7 linked regions of the Coturnix japonica genome follow. The protein of the gene in region 6 binds, or shares a complex with, the protein of the main gene of each other region. Links are inferred from orthologs where the notes say so. Each region holds a gene or a part of one and is shown on either strand. Other genes may lie near its edges. The genes, in order: GTF2H3, TAF5, TAF11, TAF1D, TAF13, TBP and GTF2B.

The links.
Region 1: TBP (region 6) and GTF2H3 share a complex: the UniProt entries of both Homo sapiens proteins name them as parts of the TFIID-containing RNA polymerase II pre-initiation complex. The link is inferred for Coturnix japonica from reciprocal best matches to the Homo sapiens genes TBP and GTF2H3.
Region 2: TBP (region 6) and TAF5 share a complex: the UniProt entries of both Homo sapiens proteins name them as parts of the TFIID basal transcription factor complex. The link is inferred for Coturnix japonica from reciprocal best matches to the Homo sapiens genes TBP and TAF5.
Region 3: TBP (region 6) and TAF11 share a complex: the UniProt entries of both Homo sapiens proteins name them as parts of the TFIID basal transcription factor complex. The link is inferred for Coturnix japonica from reciprocal best matches to the Homo sapiens genes TBP and TAF11.
Region 4: TBP (region 6) and TAF1D share a complex: the UniProt entries of both Homo sapiens proteins name them as parts of the transcription factor SL1/TIF-IB complex. The link is inferred for Coturnix japonica from reciprocal best matches to the Homo sapiens genes TBP and TAF1D.
Region 5: TBP (region 6) and TAF13 share a complex: the UniProt entries of both Homo sapiens proteins name them as parts of the TFIID basal transcription factor complex. The link is inferred for Coturnix japonica from reciprocal best matches to the Homo sapiens genes TBP and TAF13.
Region 7: TBP (region 6) and GTF2B share a complex: the UniProt entries of both Homo sapiens proteins name them as parts of the TFIID-containing RNA polymerase II pre-initiation complex. The link is inferred for Coturnix japonica from reciprocal best matches to the Homo sapiens genes TBP and GTF2B.

Annotation. Positions count from the first base shown.
Region 1 is NC_029530.1:4,203,384-4,207,315, forward strand, and holds the start of GTF2H3 (general transcription factor IIH subunit 3), read right to left. Parts: upstream 2,801-3,932; coding exon 2,704-2,800; intron 2,563-2,703; coding exon 2,483-2,562; intron 2,119-2,482; coding exon 2,012-2,118; intron 1,698-2,011; coding exon 1,534-1,697; intron 1,294-1,533; coding exon 1,231-1,293; intron 996-1,230; coding exon 966-995; intron 654-965; coding exon 625-653; intron 541-624; coding exon 466-540; intron 25-465; coding exon 1-24. Other genes in the region: EIF2B1 (translation initiation factor eIF-2B subunit alpha), read left to right, coding at 2,772-2,811, 2,884-2,985, 3,069-3,205, 3,274-3,390, 3,889-3,932. UniProt on the Homo sapiens protein: Component of the general transcription and DNA repair factor IIH (TFIIH) core complex, which is involved in general and transcription-coupled nucleotide excision repair (NER) of damaged DNA and, when complexed to CAK, in RNA transcription by RNA polymerase II.
Region 2 is NC_029521.1:20,669,837-20,673,336, forward strand, and holds the end of TAF5 (transcription initiation factor TFIID subunit 5), read left to right. Parts: intron 1-297; coding exon 298-462; intron 463-875; coding exon 876-1,053; intron 1,054-1,176; coding exon 1,177-1,354; intron 1,355-1,944; coding exon 1,945-2,162; 3' UTR 2,163-3,475; downstream 3,476-3,500. UniProt on the Homo sapiens protein: The TFIID basal transcription factor complex plays a major role in the initiation of RNA polymerase II (Pol II)-dependent transcription.
Region 3 is NC_029541.1:4,152,968-4,156,911, reverse strand, and holds the start of TAF11 (transcription initiation factor TFIID subunit 11), read right to left. Parts: upstream 2,801-3,944; 5' UTR 2,688-2,800; coding exon 2,496-2,687; intron 2,420-2,495; coding exon 2,289-2,419; intron 2,181-2,288; coding exon 2,093-2,180; intron 1,755-2,092; coding exon 1,658-1,754; intron 623-1,657; coding exon 492-622; 3' UTR 1-491. Other genes in the region: ANKS1A (ankyrin repeat and SAM domain-containing protein 1A), read left to right, coding at 3,095-3,315. UniProt on the Homo sapiens protein: The TFIID basal transcription factor complex plays a major role in the initiation of RNA polymerase II (Pol II)-dependent transcription.
Region 4 is NC_029516.1:166,172,789-166,177,039, reverse strand, and holds the start of TAF1D (TATA box-binding protein-associated factor RNA polymerase I subunit D), read right to left. Parts: upstream 2,801-4,251; 5' UTR 2,691-2,800; intron 2,371-2,690; 5' UTR 2,358-2,370; coding exon 2,131-2,357; intron 2,046-2,130; coding exon 1,589-2,045; intron 1,462-1,588; coding exon 1,286-1,461; intron 868-1,285; coding exon 807-867; intron 492-806; coding exon 378-491; 3' UTR 1-377. Other genes in the region: C1H11orf54 (ester hydrolase C11orf54 homolog), read left to right, coding at 4,239-4,251. UniProt on the Homo sapiens protein: Component of the transcription factor SL1/TIF-IB complex, which is involved in the assembly of the PIC (preinitiation complex) during RNA polymerase I-dependent transcription.
Region 5 is NC_029516.1:74,709,029-74,713,019, reverse strand, and holds TAF13 (transcription initiation factor TFIID subunit 13), read left to right. Parts: upstream 1-1,191; 5' UTR 1,192-1,297; coding exon 1,298-1,324; intron 1,325-1,416; coding exon 1,417-1,495; intron 1,496-1,584; coding exon 1,585-1,682; intron 1,683-3,010; coding exon 3,011-3,181; 3' UTR 3,182-3,629; downstream 3,630-3,991. UniProt on the Homo sapiens protein: The TFIID basal transcription factor complex plays a major role in the initiation of RNA polymerase II (Pol II)-dependent transcription.
Region 6 is NC_029518.1:36,557,770-36,561,021, forward strand, and holds the end of TBP (TATA-box-binding protein), read right to left. Parts: intron 3,093-3,252; coding exon 2,925-3,092; intron 2,635-2,924; coding exon 2,540-2,634; intron 1,703-2,539; coding exon 1,623-1,702; 3' UTR 501-1,622; downstream 1-500. UniProt on the Homo sapiens protein: The TFIID basal transcription factor complex plays a major role in the initiation of RNA polymerase II (Pol II)-dependent transcription.
Region 7 is NC_029523.1:13,188,906-13,192,405, reverse strand, and holds part of GTF2B (transcription initiation factor IIB), read right to left. Parts: intron 577-3,500; coding exon 443-576; intron 1-442. UniProt on the Homo sapiens protein: General transcription factor that plays a role in transcription initiation by RNA polymerase II (Pol II). Involved in the pre-initiation complex (PIC) formation and Pol II recruitment at promoter DNA.

The sequences.
Region 1 (3,932 bases), on a different chromosome or scaffold from region 6:
GACACAAGCATCAATCAAAATACTCTGCAAGTAAAGAGACCCACAAAAAAAGGAGTTCAGCTAGGAACAATGTAACCTCATCCATGTTTTACAGCTGCAGGACCACCACAGCAATAAGAAAGCTCATTCCCTTTGTCAGAACAAACATCCAGAATTCTAACACCTCCCTTCTAATGTATGGCAATAAAAGAACTATCAGCAAAGGTATCCTGTACACAGCACCTGCAAGGCGGGACAGAAGGCTACCATCCGTTCTTTCACAGCAATCTCTTATTAGTCCAGCAAACCCTTCACGTTAAGATGTAGCAGTAGGATCTGACTTTTAACCTCGGTTACCTTTCACTCTTGGCATGACAGTCTTCACTCCAGGGATTCTTTAACCAGATCACAGCCATAATGTAAATGAACCATTTTTTTTCACTCTTTATATGCTAATAAAAGATAAGATATATCAAATAGCTTCACCTGTTTCTGTGCTGCAAAGATCACGTTCATGAAATTCATATATTGTAATGCACTGTCTTCTGCAGCTTTTATGACCTAAATAAAACAATAGAGACTTGTTAGCCCATATAGCATTGATGTATTTTAAGGCTAATAGTAGACTAACAACAAAGCTCTTACCAAAATCCTTGATTTCATTTCCTGATTGGCTGATTAGCAAAAAGAAAATAAAAGCACATGAGTACATCCATTCCCTATAGTTGTCCCTACAGTTCTACGATACCTGACATTTTAACTAAGGTAAATCCAATCAATCTAACATCCAAAATGACAGATCTAATGTCTCAGACAATGTGAATGTAAATACTGATAGTCCCAGTGGTATAGAAATACATGTAGAATTATCTGTAGAATAATTCAGACGTTACGAAAGCGGGCCTATGTCATTTATTGCCCCAAAGCAATTAGGTATATTAGGTATATAGGTTCAAATACTCGTGAAAGCACTCTAAAGGCATTACCTTTCACCTCTTTGCTCATCTTGTTAATATCTACATCAGACAACATCAAGGAATCCACACTCTGTTCATGGAAGCACCAGCAGCACCCATGCTATGTACTCACTACCTCAAACAACACACGTTGTTTGATCCACAATTATAAGGCAAATGTTTCAGTTTTGAAAATTATTATAGAATGCACTGATAGTCAAGACTGTATTGAAGGATAATTAGTATGACAAGAAACAGACAAAAGCCTTTAAAAGTTCTGCCATCAAAAGGATACAACAAAGTGCTTTGGCAAGAGACCCTGCTAGGAGAGTCTCTGTTTGCTGGCCCATCATGTCAGCTGCAAAGCAAATTACACAGATTACTCTGATACACAAAATCATTCACTCAGCCTGATCTCACTGAGTGCTACAGTTCAATCTTCGCCATGTTGAATCACTGCAGAGTCACCCAATATCAGCCATAAAAACTCACCTACTCTAAACATATTAAAATCCAAATGAACCAAAGAAATTCCTGCAACTCCCAGAGAACATTTTGCAGTTCTGTGTTATGAAACCCAGAATTTTTATTCCCTTACTTTTCGTCATGAGGTCTTTAATCTCTTCTGCAATTGCATCATTGATTGCAGTTAACAATTCATATTTTCCATCCTTGCTGCCAGAACAATTGGATTCCACGGAGTTACCACCATCTCCAAGGAGATCCGCAGAAGCCCAACGCTTCCCAGGGTACAAGAAACGGCTAAAAGAGAGGAAGAACAAAGTGTTACGGTTTGCTTTTCAGCCTGTAAGGAAGAAATGACATCAGCTGACCACTCATAGACAGCGATATTTTGAAGTAAAACTCCAAATAACTTTAATACTTCAGGCATTAAATAGGGTTCATAAGGCAGGAAATTGTTGTGACACAAATGGTTCACCTCCCTCCTTTCAATACGTTGATGCATTGACTCTGTCTTGCTTTCCATAAGGCATTAAAACAGACCATTTCTTTCTCTACCAGGAGGCAGGGAGTGGACAACACGTCACACTCATGGTGGTGAGCGGCTGCCGTACCTTTCCTGCGTGTGACTGGCCATCACGGCCAGTTTGTTGGTGCGGCTCATGAACAGGTGGGAGTTCCCCAGCACCATCGCTGCGTCCACACATTTCGACAGGGTGAACTGCCAAGGGAAAGAATAATTCAGCAGGACAGCACCTACAGGAACCAACCGCAGAACTGCACTCAGAACTAGAAGGTGCAGGGCTTCCTTTCTAACGGGAGGCATCAGCTGAGCAAAGCTCTGACAAATGCATAACTGTAGAACCAGAGAATCATTTGGAAGGGACCTTTAAAGGTCATGCAGTCCTATTGCCTGCAGTGCTCAGGGACACCCACAGCTCCATCAGTGCTCACAGCCCCATCCCCTGGCTGTGGGTGTCTGCAGGGATGAGGCACCTCCACCTCCCCGTGCACCCTGTGCCGGTTTGATGATACTTTTCACGTTTCCCACCGATGTTTCCTATAAAAGCGGCCCCGGGACGCACCTCAGCCTCCCCCTGCGCCCGCTTCCCCCACCAGATGGGGTTGGTGTCGATGACGATGACCAGCAGGCTCAGCTCCTCGTCTGCAAAACACACAGCGGGTCACTGCAGGGGGCCGGGAGCTGCCGGAGCCGCGGGGGCTGAGCTGAGCTGAGCTGAGCTGAGCTGGACTCGGCCCGGTTCATCCCCCCCCCGTCCCGACCCCCTCGGCCGGCTCCTCTCACCCGCTCCCATCCCGCCGCTGGTGTCGCCCGCTGGTGTCGTCATACCGCACATCATCGCATTGCGCCGCATGGCACCGAGCAGGGCGGGGGCAGCCATGAGCACGGACGGTAATGTGTCTCTATGGAGGGTGTTGTGGGGGCCGGGCTGAGCCGAGTGTGAGGCGGCTCTTTGCCTTTCAGACCTGATCGAGACCTTCAGGGCGCAGCTGAGGGATGACCCCGACGTCGCCTCGGCGGTGGCCGCCATCCGCGCGCTGCTGGGCTTCCTGCGGCAGGACCGAGGTGGGCGCCCATCCCCGGCGGCCGGACACGAAGCGATGTTGGCCCGGCCCCGATTGATCCCCCGCTGTGCCCTGTCTCCATAGGAGAGACCATCCAGGGCCTGCGGAGCAGCCTGCGCGATGCCATCGACACGCTGTCGCGGGTGGACTCGTCCGTGGCCGTCAACTCCGGCGGGGAGCTGTTCCTGCGCTTCATCAGCCTCACGTCGCTCGAGTACTCGGTAAGGAGCGGGCTCCTGCCGGCCCATCTGCTGCAGGGCAGCCGGCAGCAGCGCTGTGTCCTTTCCAGGACTACTCCAAGTGCAAAGAAATCATGATCGAGCGCGGGGAGATCTTCCTCAGGAAGGTTTCTCTGTCCAGGAACAAAATCGCCAAACTGTGTCATCCCTTCATCAGAGACGGAGCTGTAAGTACAACAAGGAGCTGTAAGTACAACAAGGGCTGCTCGTGTCCTGGCTCTGCTGCCTGCGCTGCTGGGAAAGCAGGGGGGTGGTGTTATTATTCCTGCCCATCTCACAGCGTGGCATCCTCTCCTAAAATCTGTAAATACGAGCAACATCATAGAATTATGGAGTCATTTCAGTTGGAAGAGACTCTTATACCTCATGTAGTCCCACTGCCTGCAGTGCTCAGGGACACCCACAGCTCCATCAGTGCTCACAGCCCCACCCCCTGACCATGGCTGTCTGCAGGGATGGGGCACCTCCACCTCTCTGGGCACCCTGTGCCAGTGCTTCACTACCATCATAACTAACTTCTTCCTTGTAACCCATCTAAATTGTCCCTCTTTTAGTTTGAGACCATAACACCAATGGACACTGACAGAAGTAAAAGCCCTGTTCATCCTAACTGAAATGAAGGTTTTAAAGCTCAGTAAGAAGTAACATTTAATCTCTTTTGACAGAGGATATTGACACACGCCTACTCACGAGTGGTCCTCAGGGTGCT
Region 2 (3,500 bases), on a different chromosome or scaffold from region 6:
GTGAATGTAATTCTTAAGTGAAGACTAGTTCTTTTTTGCAGCCCCTCTGTATTGCTGTGTCATCAGAATTAATCATCAACATTCAAATGTCTCTTATGCTTGACAACCAAGGGTTCAGTTCTTCCCGAACAGTTTATTGTTGTTTACTTCAGTAAAATGCTGATTTTAATGGGAAATACTAAATAGTAGCTGCCCAGTGGAGAGTTCTATGTATCATAGAATTGTTACAGAGCTTATGCAATGACTACACAGTCTGTTAACTTGGTATGTAATGTACTATACTTTCTCCTGTGACAGGAACTACCTGTTGTCCTGTTCTGAGGATGGTACTGTCAGATTGTGGAGCCTCCAAACATTCACTTGTCTGGTGGGATATAAAGGACACAACTATCCAGTATGGGATACGCAGTTCTCTCCTTATGGGTATTATTTTGTGTCGGGGGGACATGACAGAGTGGCTAGGTAAGAAATTAGATGAGTTTTCTACATACCAGTTTTGTGGTGAATTAACTCAGAAAGTGATTATTGGCTGATATAGTTAATAACCTATTACTGGAAATAAATTTTATTACACACGAATTAAAATACTAAGCAACTATTTTAATATATGTTTGTTTTCCTTTTCAACACACATCAGAGACATCATCCTCCTATGTGGTCATTTCATGTTAGAAATATTTTCTCCTGTTGTTTAATAACCATGACAGAATGTCCTTTATTTCTCCCTTCCCAAAAGCATAGTTTTCCAGAATCGATCCTTCTAATTCAACAAATTTACCAGTAAGAAGCCACTCATTAATTATTTCTTTTATTACCGTGCAACAGATTCTGAACTTCATTAGTGCTCCCTTTATTAACAAAGCTTTTCTTTTCAGACTGTGGGCAACAGATCATTACCAGCCTTTACGGATATTTGCTGGCCACCTTGCTGATGTGACGTGTACTCGATTTCACCCTAACTCCAACTATATTGCCACTGGCTCAGCAGACAGGACTGTACGGCTGTGGGATGTTTTAAATGGGAATTGTGTAAGAATATTCACTGGACATAAGGTAAAGGCACATCACCAATGTGACTTAATTTCTGTGGTGTGATTCTGAAGAGTAGCATTCAGAACAAGTGCAGATTGACTAATTAGCTCGTTTGGCTTTCCTCACTGCAAATGTCTTTTGTAGGGTCCGATTCATTCATTGGCATTTTCTCCTAATGGACGATTCCTGGCTACTGGAGCAACAGATGGCAGAGTTCTGCTGTGGGATATTGGACATGGTTTGATGGTTGGAGAACTGAAAGGGCACACTGACACTATCTATGCGCTCCGATTCAGTAGAGATGGGGAGATCTTAGCATCAGGTAAAAGTCACTGGAAGCAAACATGTTTCCATTGTGCTCCATCTGTTTGAAGTGGGATTATGTAATGATAATGTACCTTAAGCTGAGTAAGGCTAATTAGAATCACTAAATCCTGAGTGAGCCGCTACCACAAGAGTGAATGGTTCCTTCAGCTGACCAGTGCTCCAATGAAAGCAGAGTCCACTGGGCCTGCAAAATACTGAGCTCTTCCCTCTATCAAAGGAAGTATCCAAGTGTCAAGAAAAAAGTCATTATGTGACTTAGAATCATAAACATCTGGTGGAGTTGGCATGTAGGCCTAAGGTTGTTTTGCCTTTTCAAGTGCTGGCTGATAGAATGGAAACCCAGCTGTTCTCAGAGGTGCTTCTTGGCACTTTATCTGCAGTGCATTCCTGTTAGATGGCAGGTGATGGCTTTTATTCCTGCTTTCACTGTGTTAAAGGCTTGTTTAAAAATGCTTCGTTGCAGGATGAGTGCTTAGTATTCAGTTATGAGCTGTTCTGCTTTGTGAGTTTTAATTCCTGTTGTGTTAATTTGCTGTCTAGCAAGGAAAAGACTTTTAAATGTTACTTTCCTTTTTTCCCTTGTAGGTTCAATGGATAACACAGTTCGGCTGTGGGATGCAGTGAAAGCATTTGAAGACTTAGAAACGGATGACTTTACTACAGCCACTGGACACATAAACTTGCCTGAAAACTCCCAGGACTTGTTACTGGGTACATACATGACCAAATCAACTCCAGTTGTACACCTTCATTTTACACGCAGGAACTTGCTGCTGGCTGCAGGAGCCTACAGTTCACAGTAGATCAGGAAGACGTAAGACTGGCTGTGCCAAGTTGTTGCAGCAGTGACCTCAGAATGTGAGATGAAGAGGAATGTCTTGTATGGGTGGACTTTGTTAGTCCATTGCAGGAAAAACAAAACTGTAAACTAACTCAAGTGACATCTTCTCTATTCTGCTCTCGTAATTCACATCTTTTGCTCTCACAGTTTGAAAATGCTGGAGACTGACAAGACAGTGTGAATTTAAAGGAATTGTTTCATGGTGCTTTTGATAAATGTATCCATATGTATATATATACATACATACATGTATATATATGACAATGGCTGTCTCCTCTCAGAGATGGTATTGAGCTCTGCTGAAACTTCTGGAAAGTTAACAGCCCTGGTCTGTGTTCTCAAATGAGTTTTTTTAAAGCACTTAATATATGGTTTGCTAATGTTTAATCAGTCTCAAACACAGGTGAAAACTTCAGACTCAGAAAAGGAGAATGTAGTTTAACTCACTATAGCCTGGGCTGGGCAACAGGAATGGTGAGAATATTATAGCAACAAATAGGGCATTGAAAGAATAAGCCCAACAGGCAGAGGCTTGTGGGGAACTGCAGAGAAGTTACGTGTAGTTTTTAAGTACCAAGTCCTGAAAAGATTTCAAACTTTGTGCTCTTTTGAGGTATTAGAAATGGAGATCTTGTTATTCTGTTCTGACAAGAAGCTGCTGCTGTGCGATAAGGAACGCAGATTGCAATGTGAATTCTTTGGAGACACGCATCACCCAATCTTAAAAACAATATTCTTAAGCCCCCACACGTTCTATTAGATTTGAAGAGCTTCAAAAACCTGCATCCTTTGAGAAAACAGTTTAACAGATCACACTAAAGCTAGTGAAGGATCAAGAAACTGAAATCTGAATTCAAGAAAAAGAAATCTGCTGGCTCTCTACTGAAGATGCAGAAAACCAAGACTTGACGTTTCCAAGGTAAACAAAGAACTACCTCCTGTCTCATCCTTTTTCTGACTAAGCCTTGGAGTAAAGAGGCATCGGGGCATTAAATGTCAAAGGAAAGGTGGAAAATTCATAAGGAAGCTAATCCAGAAACATTCTTTAAAGAGAAATGGTTAAAACTAAACTATGATGGATTTGATCTGTAAAGGTACATCAGAACTTCCTAGTAGTCAATACGATCAGCTGGACTTAAAATGGTAGTGAATCAAACAAGTTACCTAAAAGCATGTACAGCTTTGAGAGCTTGAAGAAAACACTGCTGCATTCTGCCTTTTTATTTTGTACAGTTTTATACTTTTGATAGTATAATAAATACTAAAACCACACAGCTTGTGTCTGTAGACTGTATGGTGG
Region 3 (3,944 bases), on a different chromosome or scaffold from region 6:
GGGTAAATACACTTGAGGACGTTGCATGTTCCTTTCCCAGGCTGCTGGATCTGAGGACCCTGAGGCACCAGGCCAAGGATCTGCCTCCTCCTTGAGCCTGCACAGCACTAAGCTGACAAACTGGCCTTCAGCAGTTACTGCAGGAAACATCCCCGTGGATGCCTACATGAATGTCTGCACACAATGTGCTGCTGCTGGCAGGGAGTTTAATGGGAGCAACTGCAGGTTCTGCTGCAGCATTTCTCCCTGTCCTTCTGCCCCATGAGCCGTGCTGAGAACACTCATGGTAGTTTTGTAAACTGAAAGCAATCCACATAAGACCTCGATGCTTGAAGTTACTGAAATCCACGTTGAATTGAGCTTGCTTTGGTACAGCTTCCTTGGAGAAGACTGCAAGCGGGAGAGGGGAATGCTTCTGTCTCATAACTGTCATATGGTGCACAACCAAAGCTTGTTTGAACTTGTCTTCTCTTTGCTGATCCCAGGACACTTCAGTGGAAGATGATCTTTTTATATTTGGAATTCGGGATCTGTCCTCGTGACTTGAGCCTCCTCACAGCCTCCCGCATGTGTTTGGGCTGCAGAGGTGGCAGCTCCCCCCACTTCTCACACACATCCAGTGCTAAACAAAGGACAAGAGTTGACGTGAACAAGGACAGCTCAGCTCTGCCATTCTCCCAGCAGGAGACATTTGAAAAGCCTCCCACTGGTTGAACTTCAATTATAAAGTCAACAGGTAACAGTGTTCAAAGCTCATGTTTTATCTGTACAAAGGGATGAAACAGCTTTGGGTGTTTCTCTGAAGAAAAACTAGTCCTTGAGGCATCAATACCAGCTCAGAATCAGCTGCTTTGTAACCACGTCCCAGCTGCTATGGAATAGACTAAGTCATGCAAGAGCTTGAAAAGGCCTCATCATCTTAAACCTGCTACTTTAAAACCACTTCTAGCTTGTGAAGTATGTTTGGGGACTTGTGTGCAGCAGGGATAGGAGGAAGGAACCACCTACAGCTGACTTAAAGGGCAGTTCCTGTGCTTCACTTCTGTTAAGTATAATTCAGATCTCCTGCCAAGGACACGAAGCAATAAGTACAGCAGAGAAGCTGCTTATCCAGACTGCCTCTGGCAACACAGAGCTGCAGACACAGTCAAAGCAGCAGAAGTGCCAAAAGCTGCATCATCCTGGCTGATGGCAACCCCTGCAAGTCCAGGCTGTGTGTTTTGTGTGACAAGCCTGTACTAAGTGGCTGGCACAAAAAACAAGAATCTTTTCCTCCTCTGCATGAGCAGGGACACAACTGGGTCAGCGCTGCACAGTCTATCCCAAGGAGATCTCAGCTCACTGCATTAACAAAGAATCTTGCAGGCTAAGAGGCTTAAATAACGCATTTCCCTTCTAAGCTGAATTTGTCCACAGTAGCATTAATGAGATCTTTGCTGTAGCACTGCAGCCTGCTCATGTAGGGGCAAGAAGTCCCAAGTTTTAACAGTTGTCTTCTGCTGCTGCTGAAAGCAGGAGGGCCCTGCAGGGCACTGTCCAGGCTGCACACCTGGACAAGAAGCCACAAAAGTCCAGCTTTGTTTCATGTCTCTCTGCTTTAAGCGATGTGCTCTCTGTGTCCTTAACTTTTTACTGAACAATAATGTGATTTGCTCACCTTCCTCCACCACTTCCCCAACGAAGACCTTGGAAATGCCAGACATGGCAATAACCACATTCTGAGAGACAGAGGTGCCCGTGATGGACTGGATCAGCTGCACAAGCAAAGAACAGGCAGTCAGTCAAATGAGGTACATGCAGCAACACTGAAACACTTCAAATTATATTTAGTGATTGGAGCCAAATACTGAGCACCAGTGAACAAAATGAGCAGAAACAACAGTAACAGAGCTTTGGAATGAGCTCCTATAGCTTTGGGCACATGGTAGCTGTAACAATTTGAGATTAGTTTGATTCAGCTACAGATCAGTGCTAGCAATTATTTTGCATCGCTGTCCCCCCACAGCCATGTTGGGGAGGGGAGGTTGGGGGGGGGGTATTGTGGCCAGGCTGAGCCGTTTGCTTTGTGCTGAAGCACGAACTGAAGTCGTACCCGTTTGATGGCAGCCTTGGGGAAGGCAGAGCGGCGATACATCTCGTAGCGATTCAGCTGCTCCTCGGAAAAGGAGGAGACCAGGATCCTGGAAGGGAGAGGACGAATCACTCACAGAGCTGAACCACAAACGATGCTGATGCTGCTCATGGCCATTAACCCCGCCCTGCAGCGCAGCCCATTCCCCAGCACTCACTGCATCTTCTGGATCTCATCCTCGTCCACTTTGTGCTTCTTCTCCTTCCTCTCCTTCAGTTCCACCTTCACCTTCTTTGCCGCCTGTTGCAGGTTCGGATCCTCCCCGTCCATCCCGTCCCCGCTCCTCCCCTACGATACAACACACCGTTATGGACCGGCCCCGTTCTCTCCTCATCTCCCGGCCGACCCGGTGCTGAGCCCTCACCTCCCCATCCGCCGCCTCCGCCTTGAGCTCCTGGCCGGCTCCAGCCTCCATGTCCCCCTCTATAACCCCGTCCGTGGCCGTCGGTTCCTCCATGGTCCCATCCCCGCCGTGTGGTGATGTAGCGGTCGGTGCCGGTTCCCGCTCGGTGCCGCCCCCCCGCTCCTCCCGGCCCGGCTCACCGGGATCCGCCATTACGCCTCGTCTCTACGGTCGCCTGGTGATGACGTCACGCTACGGTGGCCGACAGGGGGCGCTGCTGTCGTTATGGCGACGGGGCTGAGCGCCGTGCGGCCTACAGAGCTGTGAGCTGCGTGTGGACCCGGCACAGCAGGGTGGGATCCACCCCATCTATAGCCGTGCTGACGGGCTCTACGCGTCATTTTGTATCAGTTCCATTTGATAATGAAGAGAAATGGGATGAGAATATAGATCCACCAGGGGCGGGGCCTACAGCAGACCAGGCCCACTTATTAGGCCGCGCCCACAATAGAGAACAAACGGCCCCTCAGGCCCCGCCCACTCGGCCTCAGGCCACGCCCCCTCAGCGTTCTTCCGGGGCGGGGCCTGGCGGGAGGCGGCGGCGTTGGCCGGGCCGGGCCATGGGGAAGGAGCAGGAGCTGCTGGAGGCCGCACGAACCGGGAACCTGCCCGCTGTGGAGAAACTGCTGTCGGGAAAACGGCTGAGCTCAGGGTTCGGCTCCGGGGGAAGCGGAGGAGGGAGCGGAGGAGGATCCGGGGGCGGTGGAGGTGGTGGAAGCGGCGGTGGAGGAGGTGGAGGAGGAGGTGGAGGAGTGGGACACCCGCTGTCCAGTCTGCTGAGGTGAGTGGGGGGCAATGAGGGGGATGGGGGCTATGAGGGGTGGGCCCATGGAGCTGGGGAGCTGTGGTTAGAGGTGGGTACAGGGCTGAGGCTGTGGGGTGAGGAGGATGGGGAAGGTTGTGGGGTGAGGGCTGTGGGGTAGGAGCCCCCCACAGGGGGTAGTTTGGGGCTGGGAGCTGTGGGTGAAAGCTGAGGGGAGAGTAGGGCTGTGGGGGATGCAGTGTGTGAAGTTTGTAGGCTCTCAAGGTGAGCATTGATTTATAGGAGCTGTGGGGTGCATGGGGTTGGGGTGCTGTAGGGCTGTGGAGAAGGATTGAAGGTGTGTGGACTTGAAGTTGGGGTGCTGGGAGACTTGGACTGTGCTGCTTGAGGTGAGGTGTGGGTGTAGGGGTTGTGGGGTTGATAGGGGTGCGTTGTTGAGGACACAAGATGTGTGGGGATAGTGGGTTTGTAATGATGAGCTGGGATTTTGGGGCTTCTGAGACTGGCTGTTGGTGTGCTTGGGGTGAGGAAGGGATTGTGGTACAGGGGATGCTGTGGGTTGGAATCTGTGCTTGGGTGGAATGTATGGGTGGGAGGGCTGTGGGACAGGGGCTGTCCGAGCTCCCATGGCATGGTGTGGGATGGAG
Region 4 (4,251 bases), on a different chromosome or scaffold from region 6:
ATGAGCAGGACTCCACACCCACCTCACTGCATTACCCTGCCAGAACCCCACTCCTACATCTAGTCTGAGCAACCGCAACAAGTTCCCATTCATGCTACAAGATCAGCAGATAGTCCCTGTTGTGCTGAAGGGCTTCTATCTCTGCTCAGTCACCTTCGTAAGACCCCACTCTGGACTGAGGAGGGGAAGAAGGGAATAGAACTTTTCATCACACTGCTAGTTGTTTTAAAGCAGCTTGAGATTATGATATTGGATTTAGGAGAATTAGTTTATTCTACACTGCTTAATTACAAGAGCTGGAACTCTTAGTCCTGTAGCTCTGTGACCTGCTGGTTCCACAAGCCAGGCTGCGGAAGGTGCTATTTCAGCAGGATCACTTAGCAGCAGCATTCTTCTTCAATCACTCCAGCTGACTTTGCTCGCTTTGTTTTGGCCTTTGATTTCTTCTTCTTGTTGGGAATTTTGCTGCTTATAATGAAACAGCTTTTGTCCTGAGAACAAAAAAAAACAGCATTCTCAAGTCTGGTTTGGAGACACTTGAAGTACCAATTTATTACTAACTTCCTTTAGGAAGTTTTATGGACGCTTCAGAGAACTGCCCAATTTCCGCACATCCCAACATAATTCCAAAGAGCTCAGACTTCTCTCAAACCAATTTCCTCTTGTACTACACACCAAAACCACACAAACTGGTTAATTCCAGATCCAAGCTCAAGAATTAAGTACTCAAAGCATCATCTGTTACTTATTTAACACCTCAAAAGAGAAAACAGGTTATAGTTTTCAAATTATGGATGTTTACTCACCACTACTCTGACATCAAAGTCTTCTGGATTATCAGAGCCCAAGCAGTTATCATCGTCATTGCTGAAAGGCAGGAAATTCAAATCAAATCTGTACTTCTACAGTAGCGCAGCATAAACAAGCTGTTCTCCTAATGCAGCACCACTTCCTCATAATGCATATGGAAACGCTACAGCTTACAGGTCTGGGATGCTCCCACTTCTACATGAGGCTACACTGAGAGCCTGTGGAACAAGATCCTTATCTAAAGCCATGAGCTGTTACTTATTTTCTCTCTCTGCTCTTTTAAGGATGAGGAGAGAGCACACAACACAGCAGTGCTAAGCCAACAGAATCCATTACTGAGTTACAGAAAAATCCAAGAGGTATTTCACCAATTAATATAATGCACGTGCCAGACAATAAAGACAGCAATGCTGAACACACAGACTTTAAGTTGAGAACAAAACAGCAACTTTTATACTACTGAAAATGAACTTACTTTGTCTCCTGGATAGGAGAAATGGGGCCTTTGTCATCTAAATATTTATGTTTCCGCGCTGTCAGACATTCCCTTTCTAAGTCTTCATTTGCTTCAAGGGATTTCAAAGCCTTTTTGAGGTGTTCTTCAGCTTTAAGCATTTCAACATACTGGAAATATCCCTTCGCAGCTGCTTGCTGCAAAAAAAAGGAATAGATCTTAAATACAAACAAAGAAATGAACCATTTATATAATCAACCAGACTGTAACATTAAATGACAGCCTTAGGTCAGCTGGTTCTCTCCCACAAAACACAGGGCTCACCTCATAGCTAAGAACCATATTTACGGGAATATGTTTCCTCCCATAATGTTTTTCAACAAAAGGGAACTGAAAGCCTGGATCCCGAAGCCTTCTCCTTCGCTCCTGAGGCGGGGCTGTCATGGGCCGATTCCCACCACGCTTCTTTGGGGGTTCCGAGCGTCTCTTTGTCTTCCGTGAAACACCGCTCCTGTATCTTCGGTGCGCAGCAGTTTTAAACTTCCTTCCTCTGAAGTGATAGGCAAAAATGGCTTTCAAATCGAGCTTGGATTTCCTCCTTTGGGAGGGTTCAGGTGGCCTCACCGGGCTCTCAGGGAGCAAAGAGTCAGGACTTTCACCATCAGACACTCGTGCATCAGCTCCTGCTTGTTTCCTTGAAGGCTGCGATCTCCTCTTTTGCTCCGCAGAGGGAGCAGTGCATTTCCTAGAGCGTTTGCTGCCCCGAGCAGCTGAAACATCACTGAAAAAGAAACGTGTACATTCAACAGAGCACATACGTTTATGAGTCTTGTTCGTAAGTGATTCTAAGGAACCAGGTAACTCACATTTCTGAATCGCTGCTATCCACCTCAGATGAAGATGTATTTGTACTACTAGTCTCATCTGAAGACTCCTCAGGAGTGGCGTCCTTCTGCCTCGAGCACAAACGTCTCTTCCTTGCATTCACTGCACGCTCAGGTATTTTAGATCTTTTTCGCCTCTGAGTGGATACGAGACTCTGAGCATCAGGATCATCAGAACAAGAGGTGTGGGATTCATCTGTATCACTCATGTTTTAATCTGCCCTGAAAGAAATTAAATATGTTTTACCCCAGGCAAAGCTTTTCACATCCAAGGAACGTATGTGTCTCCCTCACAGTAGCCCCCTCCCGCCCACCATCCCGGGGCGGACATTTTGCGCGGTTCCCGCCGCTCTACCACAGCCCCGGGCCGCCATGAGGAGCCCATTTCCCACATCCCACCCGCCCCAGGGCCTTCCTTGCGCTCCGTCTAGGAATCGCTCAGCGACAGGATGTGCTTTGATTCTACCCCAGCCTCACAGCGGGTCCTCACACGGCGGATGGCAGCGGATTCAGCGCACCGCCATCACCAACCCAACACTCACCTCACGCTTCACCTCCGGAAAGGGCGCGCAATGGCCGCCCCCGAGCTTAAATAGCGCTCGGCTCTCGCGAGAGCAGGACGGGGCGGGGAGTGCCGTGAGGGGGGCGGGGATGGGCGGCCGCAGGTTGTGGGCATTGGCTGCGGTTCCCGCTCGCTGTGGGTCTCCAGAGGGTGGCTCCTGCAGGTTTGGCTCCGGGACTCTTTTTAGACTCTTTTTACCCTCGTTTACGTGGCCTGAATTTCCCTTCTCGCTTCTCTGCTGAGTTCATCTGCACGTTGGCGCTGTCCCTGTTGGCTCTGTGGCTCTGGCTGTGCTTCCTTCTCCCCCCAGCCCCCCGCTATGAAGCGTTTCTATCCAGCCATTAACTTCTCCTTTCCGTTTTCTGCCCTTTCCTGCTTGGAAAAGAAAAGCCGCAGTGTCTCGACGTGTCGGTTGTTTCCTGCCATCCCGTTTGCAGCGTTCCTGTGACAGCTTCCTTCACAGAAGGGAGAATCGCCCATAGAAGCGGACGAGCCCCCAGCTAAGATGGAAATCACTCTACATAGACAGCTTGCTTTCTTGCTCTATTGCTTGTTACAGGCAGAACTTGAGGTAGCTGAACTTTGAGCTCAAAGTCTCGCTTTTTCTTCCATGAAAGGTTCCTATTTTGTTACGTGCAGCAGGCGTGTGCCTAAGGAGTTAATGATTTCTGGGGCTGGTTTATAGGTAGCATGTAACCAGCTGCTTGTGCCTGGAGCTGCTGGTTTGCCCTCGTAGCAGGTTATGCTGTTGCATGACTGAAATATAGCTCGTTTCAAAAGAAGCTCCAACATTTCTGTTCTGAACAAAGCTTGCTGTGAAAGGCTCTGAGCTGATATAGAGTCCAGTGCTGTACAACTTGCTGCTGCTTTGGTGCCTTTGTTTGGCTTTGAGATGCACTACAACCTTCTTCCACTTTGGAAACACGTGCCTATAAGAAACTGGGAGCCAAGGTTGAAAGTCCATCATAGCCAATGCTGGAAAAGTAAACATTAAGGTAGTGAAGACCGGGTAAGGCAGTTATTGTGCTTAGAAAAGCGTGGCTTTGGGTTTACAAAGGACAGATAACTGACCTGTCCCTTGAATTAGGTTCAGCGTATTACATATTTTGTCTGTACTGAGATGGAAGTTTGAGGACTAACAGATGTAATGCTCTGAAGCAGCTGCAGAGCTGGTAGGCACACCTGCTTCCAAAGCACATAGAATCATAAAATCACCAAGGTTAGAAAAGACCTGAAAGATTATTCAGTACAACCATCCACATATTACTAATAGCTGCCACTAAACCACTAATAGCTGCCACTAAACCATGAGAAAACACTAATCTTGAAGCTGTCAGTTTTTCCCTCAATGGTATAATAACAATTCTACTGTTATCTATGTATTCTCGGGTGAATTTGACAGATAAATTGCATATTGAAAGCAGTGTGTTTTTAATTACTAAACCATTATCTTTGTTGACAGATCAGTCACTTCTGCAGTGTGTTACACTGTAATTTCTAACCTGAAGAAATCAGAACCAAGCAGGCAATGGCCAAGGTAG
Region 5 (3,991 bases), on a different chromosome or scaffold from region 6:
TTGTAACTCCTCTGCATTGTGCATTCCGTAGGTTCAGCGTGATAGCATGGCATGCCTTGCTTGTCTACATCTGGTTGTCCCTGTTACGGGCAGATGTGGAAAAGGAAACCTACTTTATGGGATCTGCCTCCTGGTTGGCTGTTGGCTTGAAACAGTGGTGATGAATGAACAACACCTAGCAGAACTCTCTCCTCCTGCACTTGATCATCACTCAGTGTTGCATGAACCTTCTGTTTTAAATCCCACGTGAGTTCTGCAGCTGCGCTCAGCTCAGTTACCAGAGATGGGTCCATTACCTACATCTGTCCTGCCCTGGGAGCTGAAGCACAACACAGAGGTCCTGCAGCCACTGTACCTGGCTAAGGTCAAAGGGAAACCACATCTGGTACAGAATGTACAAAAAGGACTGCCATTAAATAGCAGTAGTTGTACACAGCAATTTAGACCAAAGCTAATAAAGTGCCTGTGTCACACTCTGGCACACATCTTGTCCTGTCTTAAGACTGCCAATTCTGCGTATACAGTTGCTGAGGTTAACTTACATTAAATGTTTATATCTCAAGGAAAAGTGATTCTTTCATAACCCACTCTGAGGCTTGAAGGTGGTGTTTCTACTGTTTGTTACGTTAAGGAATGTCCTGTAACTCTCAGATTAGGCTTGAAGTTTGTTTCCAGCAGATATGTAGGAAGTGGCAGGATGAAGAAACCAGCAGGGAGATGTGGATCTCCAGTTTCTACATGTAAGCAGAGATCAAGCATGTCATGCTACCGTTTTGCTTCTAATCCCAAAATGCACCAAAGCAAACTGGCCTGTGAGTGTCTGATTCTAGAAATAAATACAGTAGGATCTAGAGAGGTGGAAAACACTCAAGTCAATGTTTTGGGAATAATTGTGTGTTTGTATCTTAAAACCAGTGTCTTTCAAAAGCATCAGTGTAGTCCAAGCTGTTATCTTCAAGGCCTCAGTTTGTTATGTGCAAGATTTGGAAGCTCTGTGACAGATGTGGCAATAAATAAAATCGAATTAAGCAAGTGCTCCATAGATTCTTCTTGACTCTGCTGTCCAGTAAAGTTTTGTTTCTCCAGTGCCTGTACCTCAGCTGCACCTTTTTCTTCCTCTCCTTCGTCTTCCTAAGGAAAAAATCTTTTGAATAGCCTAAGTTCCCAAGGCATTTCTCACACTAGATGAGTGAGGGGTGGGAAACAGCCTGGGTGCTATAGACACGGCACAACAAGATGGCGGCCCCCAGGGGAGGCGGGAACGGGAAACCGGAAGCGGTAGCGGGCTGTGGCGGCCATGGCGGACGAGGAGGAGGACGCGCCGGTGAGCGGCGGGGATGGGTTGTTTGCGTTCAGCCTCGGGGCGGGAGGGAGCTCCCCGTTTAACGGCTTCCTTCCTCCGCTTTGTTCCTTCAGTTCGAGGAGGACTCCGAGGAAGCCGGCGGCGGTTTGGACGGCGGGCAGGGCAAGAGGAAGAGGCTTTTCTCTAAAGAACGTGAGTCCAGGTTGGGGGGGGAGCTCAGGGTGGGAGCGTTACTGATGCATTGAGCAGATGGAGGCCTCACGCTGTGTGTATTCCCGCAGTAAGATGCATGATGTACGGATTTGGAGATGACCAGAACCCTTACACGGAATCTGTGGATATTCTTGAGGACCTGGTGATAGAATTTATCACTGAAATGGTAAGTCAGTGGTGTGCCAAACACGGGTCTGTTAGCCTTGAGAAAAGAAGACTGAGAGGGGATCTGATCAATGTCTGTGAATATCTAAGGTGTGGGAGGCAAAGGGATGAGGCCAGACTCTTTTCAGCGGCATGTGGCAATATGACAAGGGGAAATGGCCACAAACTGGAGCATGGAGCCACACAAATGTGTGCAGGAGCTTCTACATGGAGAGGGTGACGGAGCACTGGAACAGGCTGCCCAGAGTGATTATGGAGTCTCTTTCCCTGGAGCTGTTCAAGACCCACTCGGACTCCTACCTGTGCAACCTGGTGTAGGGAGCATGCTTTGGCTCCCTCTGCTTCAATGAAATTCCTTCAGCATTATCCCAGGCAAAAACTCGTGTGCTGCTGGGAAGAAATCTAAACTCAGATATAAGAGGTTGGATGTTAGGGGGAAGTTCTTCACTAGGAGAGTGGTTAGGCCCTGGAACAGGCTGCCCAGGGAGCTTGTGGATGCCCCGTCCTTGGAGGTGTTCAAGGCCAGGTTGGATGGGGCCCTGGGCAACCTGATCTAGTAAAGGTGTATGTTTGGTGGCCCTGCCAGGCAGGCGGGTTGGAACTACATGATCCTTGAGGTCTCTTCCAACCCGGGTCATTCTGTGATTCTGTGATTGCCCTTCCGATATTAAGATAGAATTAACACATTTTACTCCACATGGATTTAGGGCAACGTTCGGAGGCTTTAAGTAACAGTTAGGGGAAAAAATCCATAGCTGACTTTGAGGCACCCAGTGGCATCGCTGTGTGTTCTGCTGACAGATGGCTCAGCTTTGAAATGTTATGTGCTTCTTGTGTTCTCTCAGTGCCTTTACACAGATGGAAATGCCACACCATAAAATAAATGCAGCCATCTGGGCCCTAAAGCCACTGCTGATCCAGACATTTGGATACAACTTGAGCACTTATGTTAAAAAAAAAGAATAAGAAAAGTGGTATTGTTTGTGGATCCCTTCTCATGAGAAGTTAGCCTTGCCTATTCTCAATAGAAAAAAACTGTCCTCTGATGCAGGTATTGCATACTGCATGCAGATTCTGCTTGATGCTGTTGCTCCTCAAGCACTTTGCAGATCAGGTGTCCCCTCCCCAGTCTGCCTTCAGTTCCAAAGACATTCCTGTTGTGTGTGCAGTGGTACCCAGTGTATATGAGGTACTGCACTTGGATGGCAATGCCCAGATCCTGCACTTGCTGCCTTCTAGACTGTTTAAAATGTCAGTAAATACAGTAGGATTGAGATCTGAAAACAAAACTAAAAGGGGCAGAGGAACACTGATGTTTCTCTCTTGCAGACACACAAAGCCATGTCAATTGGACGGCAGGGCCGTGTACAGGTTGAGGACATTGTCTTCCTAATCCGCAAGGACCCCCGGAAGTTTGCCAGAGTTAAAGACCTTCTGACTATGAATGAAGAACTGAAACGTGCCAGAAAGGCCTTTGATGAAGCAAACTATGGATCTTGATTCTGTGTACAGGCTTGACTGGAGCGTGCTGTGGGCTCCTGTTGCTCAAGAGGAAGAAATGTCATGTGTGTTGCTTTGAGGGGTTATTTGAGCTGGAGATCATTGCTGCTATCTGCTCTGCCTCTCAGCCTCTTGTGGTAGGCATTCAAACAGCTAGATGTTAACTGATTACACATGGCGCTCCTAACGTGTTTTTATACCATTATGGGAATTTGAGAAATGAGCTCTAAAGATATTTTAAAGGTGAGAAGTCTGCAGTAGGACAGCTGAATTGGGAATCTACAAGGCCCATGACAAGCTCTTCTCTACTTTGGTTATGTCGAGGTATTTTGTTGACAGGAAACCTGGAAAATAGATGTTGGTTAACTGGACAAAGTTGTCAAGCCCAAACTATTACAAATTCTGCTCTGTACATAAACTTGAATAAAGCAACTCGAGTCTGTGCCCACTCTTCGTAACTACACGTACACTGATCAGTTAACGCAGGGCACATAAAAATTGTTGGCTATTGTAGCATCTCATGAGCTCTAAGTGCTGTTTCTGTCCTAGTAGACACAGCTCTCCTGTTTTTACTGTACACTTAGAGAACTGAAATTAACCTGTTCCAGATTTAGTTGCACTCAGATCCTTGCCTTGCCCCTGTTGGGCAGATGCTCCACTATAAAACTGATCTGACTTAATTCAAAGAACTTTTTTCACAAGATTAGGATCACCGGGTAATTACAAATAAGAGCTCGATGGAAAGCACTAAGCTTGTGAAATAATGTTAGAGCAAGGAATAAGTATGTGCTGGAATAGCTACACATTGCC
Region 6 (3,252 bases):
GTTTCCTGGAATAGCACAAACCATCCTGTCACTACAGCACAGCTTGGCTGATTGGAATGAAAACTATATGATATAGTGTGTAAAGTCTTCCTGCCATAGTTAACAGTTCTGCAGATGCTACAGCAGCACAGATGGCGATACAGATGAACACTGGACCAGCTTACCCACATACTGCATCACTGCTGTGTGCTGTATCTTGTTTAATTATGTAGCCCTGCCCAGGTAAGTACATCAACTTCCTGCTAAGATCATTTAAACCAGTTATTGAAAGACCTGCTAATAGCGGTGCATAGCGTGCACCACTACAGCAATAATCAAAGATTAAGAATTAATAAGTTCACTCAGGATTTGCATATGGTGCGGTAGCAAAGCCAGCCATAACTACTTATCTGGAATGAAACATCATTTTAATTAAGAGACCATGGTTACATTTGGGTTAGTTTTAGATAAAAGCTGTTTGAAAGAATGTGCAAGTCATAAAAAGGCTATTACTGGAAATGTACTGGAGAAAAAAAAGTTTATTCTTAGTTCTCAGCCCATTAAGCTTCAAGCACACTTCAAAGGGGAGATTATGTACACACTGACTCCAGTTGGAAGGGCTTTGACATTTTATATGAACACTAATATAGTGAGACTGTCATAGTTGGTAAAATACAAAAGTGATTTATAAGAAATCTTAGAAGCTAACCAAGAATCCTTTGTTCCAATTCACTCAAGTGTGGCTGTGTAAGACTTGCATAAATCCCATCTGTTGAATGGGAGGCAACACATACTTGAACACAAACTCCTGTAGCCAGTCTTCTCTTTCCTGTTAGTGCACTGGAAGTAATCGGGCTGAATGTTGCCAAGGATATGACTACTGCTAAGCAAGCCAGAGCGTTGTTCAGATTTTCTCCAGATGACAGTAGTGTGTGTGCTAGTCAAAAATCCAGATTAAACTGAAAAGAACCTCTTCATATATTTCACTTTCCCAGCTGTGCAATTGTAAAACTCATTAAGACAGTTCCCATAATTGTATAAACAGGGTTTATTGTACATGTGGAGCTGAAGGAGAAAAGAGGAGGAATATATATATATTATATATATATATATTTATATATATGTACAGTGAGCTGTTTTCATTAATAAATTTATTCTGCCTTGCTTAATACTGGAAAGAGGGAATGTGTCTGGCACCGAAAGGAATTGAAAACTGAAGGAATTTAAAAGCTTAACTTTGGAAATTATAAAAACCATGGTCTTAATGGAAGGAAATTAAAACATATATACATGGCAACTCAAGTGGTTTATACACTGAGTGACACGGTTGCGTTCATCTTTTAAACCAATTTATGAATTTTCTATTAATAGAACTGGCATTAAAACTATTTAAAAGCTAGAATATAAATAAAACTCGGAGGGACTGCCCAAGGAGCAGCCCAACAAAGCAACTCACAGTAACTCAGTAGACATCATCATCGATAAAACAATTCCCCTTGAGTGTCAGGGAAATAGGCACTAACTGGGAAATAGTCCAAGTCTGGTGTTGCAGTTTCACTGAAGTCCATCTCTTGTTACTGCTGTGCCATACGCGATGCCTTTCTAAATGTACCCCCCAATTTCTCTGCAGTATGTAGAAACTGTTACGTTGTCTTCCGGAAACCCTTTAAAATAGGATAGATGTTTTCAAATGCTTCATAGATTTCTGCTCGAACTTTAGCACCTGCAAGAAGAGAGAAAATGACTTAATTCCCTCTCTCTCTTCAGAACCAAACAGTTCTCTATTTCTGCATGTAATTCTTCCTTTAAATAGACATTTCCTATAGAACACACATTATTAGAATAAACAGAAGGGTAATAAATGAAGGCCTGAGAGTTTGTTTCATTACCATCTTCATGCTTATGACATACTTGTAAATGAGATTTTCTAAGCATGTTTTCTCAGTACACTCAACTGCAAAGCGCAGCCCCATAGGATGTTTATGGAGAAAGGCCTCAACAGCAGTTTTATTCAACAGTGCAAATATCTGGGGAAACAAGGAAATGATGACTGAAGCAGAGGCCAGCAGAGGCCATAGTGCAGGTATATGTTCCTTCTTTCATCTGTGGATTCATTTATCAGTGAAGGGGGAAAAGGAAGAAAGAGTATAGGCAGAATCCCCAAGGTTAAGGAAGCCTCAGAGCATGGGTATCTCCCCTTCTTTGGCTGCTGCATCAAAGGGAAATGGCAGCAGCCTCCAACCAAGCTGTTACAACACACTGAGCTCAGTCACGCGCACCCAGTGAACAGAAGCAGACTTATGGATGTTGCTGGGAACGTTAGATAGGCTCTTTTTGGGCACCCGCCATTCTTCATCAGGATTCAAGATGGTTGCTTATATGGTTTAACCAAATACATGTGGTTTGCTCTGTGGGTTCTCATCCACAAAATACTGTGCTGTCTGTTCCTTTCCCAGTACTGTTGTTTCTGAAGAAGAGCAGCTAATAAATTGCATACTTGTGGGAGCACTGTTTCTAATGCAGTCTAAATCTAACCTACTGGAAGAAAATATTGACTTACCAGTTAAAACCACTTTTCCAGAAACAAAAATAAGCAGAACAATTCTTGGCTTGATCATTCTGTAGATTAAGCCAGGAAACAATTCTGGCTCATAGCTGTAAGAGAAGAGTCACAGTGTTTCAACGTGCCAACAGACAAATGTCCTTGCCCTTCATCTGCAGGGCTGCAGAAATGGACAGTGCAGATGTAAACCATTTGGGATGAGTAGCAAAGAATCGCTGCCCAATATCTACCCATGAAAATAACATCAGTTACTCCAGAGGCAGAGCTAGGATAGGAACAAAGATGCTGCATCCTCTCTGGTGTAAGGGAACAATCTAAACAGATGCCGCTCTAAGCTAGTCACAACACAGCAAGAATGAAAGGTAGGCAAACCTTCATTTACCTGCTGAACTGCTGGTGTGTGAGTACCAATCCTTCTAATCTGATAGGAAACTTCACATCACAGCTGCCCACCATGTTCTGAATCTTAAAATCCAAAAATTTCGCAGGAAAACCCAGTTTCTGAACAACTCTTGCGTACTTCCTTGCTGCCAGTCTGGACTGTTCTTCGCTGAAGGGAGAAAAAAAGAGCCAGCTTATTTCCCTTATTAAGCACTACTTCAAGCAAACAGCACCAAGCCACAAATATTTAACTGGGAAAGAAACATTGCGTGTGTTGCAGGAGAGTTGCAAAATGTTTACATCCAAAATGAACAACTACTACTGGTTTG
Region 7 (3,500 bases), on a different chromosome or scaffold from region 6:
GACATAGCTGTATCACAAAACTTCAAGCCAAACATACACTGAATACTTTCTTCTGGAATACTTACACCATAGAAGGATTCTATACTTAGTGTTTCCACATAATATTCACTGAGAGAGCAGGCACAACACGCATGCAGCTCTCCACGTCTCCAATATTAATCTGATCTAGACATTATTACAAAAAAGCTGGTTCATGTTGCAAATCAAGGAGTGGCAACTAACCCAGCAACACTGCAAACTTTCGTCTTGTCACAAAGTTCAGTCCTTTCCTGCTGTCAGCCAGAAACAGACACATTTTACAGATTACTGAAATGCAAGAGTTCAAGTTTTGACTAAATCTCTTTGTAAATGCATTCTCTGAATAGTTTCCCTATGGACACACAAATACGTAGCAGACACAAAAACGTTCAAGCTTAGTAACATTTAATATTTCATATTTTACCTTTCCAATCATTGTACTCAGGTCACCGTCACTCAACAAAGGATTCTGGGTATCCCCAACTCGAGATGGGTCTTTTGTTGCTTTATCATTGCTGAAAGTTCTCCACTCCGACCCTACATCTATGACACGATCACCTGTGGTTACAGAAAGCAACAGTTTGTATCAACATAACATTTGGAAACAGCTTCTGAAACATGGTTACACAGCCCAGGTCTCAGTTATAAAATGCAGGCTGTTACCAAGTGCCAGCAGGATGTAACTGCAGGTCAACACACCAAAATTATTAGGTTTTTCAATCTAAGTAGAAAGCAATAACAGGAGCTGCGGAGAAAGTTTAAATAAACATACCCAGAAAACAGAATTGTGGCCATCCTTAAAGAATATCACAGGTTATTCAATACACAAAGGAGCTCACAGTTGTCCAGTGAACATTGTCAGTGACAAACAAACAAGTAAGTTACCTTTGACACTTGACAGAAGTACTCCTGAATTAGCTATCAAGCATTATCTCATCAAGCAGTAGCACATCACTTTTGTGAATGAGCTCCAGGCTCAGAAACGAACCTTCTAAACCACCATGACAACATTCTGCAGCTCTGTTTTGTTCCTGACCCTTAAGAAAAAGGCTTTTCTTGGGAGTCCTCTCAAATTCACCTAAATGTTTCCAGCAGCATCTATTCAAACTGAGAAATATCTCTAACCCACATAAATACAGGCAAAAAAAATCTGGAGTAATCACAATGATTCAAATAATGATTGAAAAAAGAGTTCTGCTTGTAGTGCAGCTCATTCTATTCACAGGGCTGGTAAAAGCAGCACCTCAAAGGTGTTGTCTCCAGAGCAATACCACAGAGTTTTTAGGAACATGTAGAGAAAAGCATCAAGAAAAAAAAGCATTACAGTTCTGTGCAGAATATCAGAACCAGTTCAATCGTCACTTCTGCTTTGCTAAACCTGAGGGAAAATTCATTATCTTTATCAAAGTTTAAGTGTTGTGAAGGCAACATTCACCAAAATAAATAGTACTGACAGCAAGAAAGATTGCTGGCACAGAAGTCCAAGTATGAAACAAGAGAGGCAAGTTTAACCTAGTAAAAATGTAAGCAGACAGACAAAAGTACTCCCTAGCAAACAATGATAACATGCAATTTGAATCTCGAAAAAAAAATACAGGAGCAACACACAGAGTGTCACTGCAAAATTACTTGTGGAAAAGAATCTGAATGGGGAACTTCACTCTTAACACACGATGATGCAAGGAATGTGCCTGAAACTGAAAGGTGTAAATGAATCCAAGAAATCAGGCCAACCTAAAAAGAATACATTTAAGACAGAAGTAATCTCACTAGTATTCATCCGACATGCTCATAGCTATGCTCCCCGTTCATTTAATGCTCTAATGAAAACTGAGGTAGCAGAGGTGGAAGTAACAAAAGTTAGAAGACTAAGAACACCACAAAGTAAAAGAGAGCACAGATCTATTCTTCCTGCTAGAGGCTCATGTCTTGTGAGCCTTCATTAGCAGACAGCATGCTCCTCTGGCTCCTGGACTCTCTGTAAATATTTGATTCAGTAATGCACCTTCTATGGTCTAGCAGTGACTTTACTTTAAGACAACCCCCCAGTACTGTTTACAGCATCTAAAAAAAGCAAAATGTACTTAAAATTCTGGCATGGTATAAATAGAACACTGAACACAGGGCAATGATGTAATATTTTTTCCACACAAGTAGGAATGACCTCAATGACTCACTCACGGATCTGCCTCTTGTGAGTTATGAACCATTCCTGCTCTAACAAAAAAGTGTTATATCACTGCCTGCTTTGGCAAACATTACAAACAGAGAATTGAGTCTGCTATTTCAGAGTGAGAAAGGATTAAGTAGAACAAATCTTTGAATATAAAGCATTTGTGGAATTAAGATGCAGTGTGTAAACACCTTCGTGTTGCCAAGAAATCTGCTATTGCAAGAAAACAGCTTTCCTGGATATTCTTTACTTACAGACATTCAAGGAATCACATTCCACCTTGCAAAAGCCTTGCATAGAAGCCTGACACAAGCTAGAAATAACAACAAAACTGGAACAAATAGGCCAAATGTTTCCATAGATGGAAAATATTCAACTACAAGCAGCTAATTATCCTGTCCCACACACAAAAGAAAGCATGACACTAAGTACTCTTTTAACCTTTAAAAACATAAAAACCACTTTGGAACTGTTGCCTTGGTATGTATGTAATAAAGCCCCACATGTAAGTGACAGAAACAAAACCTTAAACACCAAGGTCAGTTTTACAAGAGCAGTGCAACACAACAGCACTCAGAGAATCAGCTTTGAAGACTGGTTGCTAATTTCAAGCTCTGAAACGCATTTCCTGGCTCATACCCTACTGATGTGCTCTCCTAAATCACCAGGAAAATGCACCTGAGTGGCAAACAGCAGAGTAACAAAAGCTCCCAAAAAGTACTATCTAAAACCTTCAGAACAGAAGACCTCAGACCAGTTACTTTTCTAACCTAATTTATCTAAGCAAGTGCTCCAGAAATGTAGGAGTAAACTCAGCTCAGTATAAAAAATTAAAATGCAATTTTCAACAGTTTTTAGTAATTAGCTTAGCACGTCTATTAAACACTAATACTGCATGTTTATTTCACCCCAAAAATAGAAAGCAGTTTATCAAAGGAACACACTCCTACTTGACAAGTTCTGCATTCACAATTACATATTTTCGGAGAAATAATAGCAGCTACTTTAGCAGCACATCCTCTTGAAATACTCATGATACATGAGCCCCTTATTCTCTATTTGCATTTTTATTATCTCTTATATTAAAAATACATATATGTTTATATATATATACACACACACACATATATATACACACACACAGCTGTGAACTGAGGAGGTTTAATCAAAACAAATAGCATGGAATTCAAGCCTCAAATAACATTATCTTTCATATTCAGTCCTGAAGCATTTTCAAGATGATGTGGCTTAAATCATTGTAAGAGGAGCCGTAATGGTAGATGTACACCGAATCAAGCTCTGCATATGA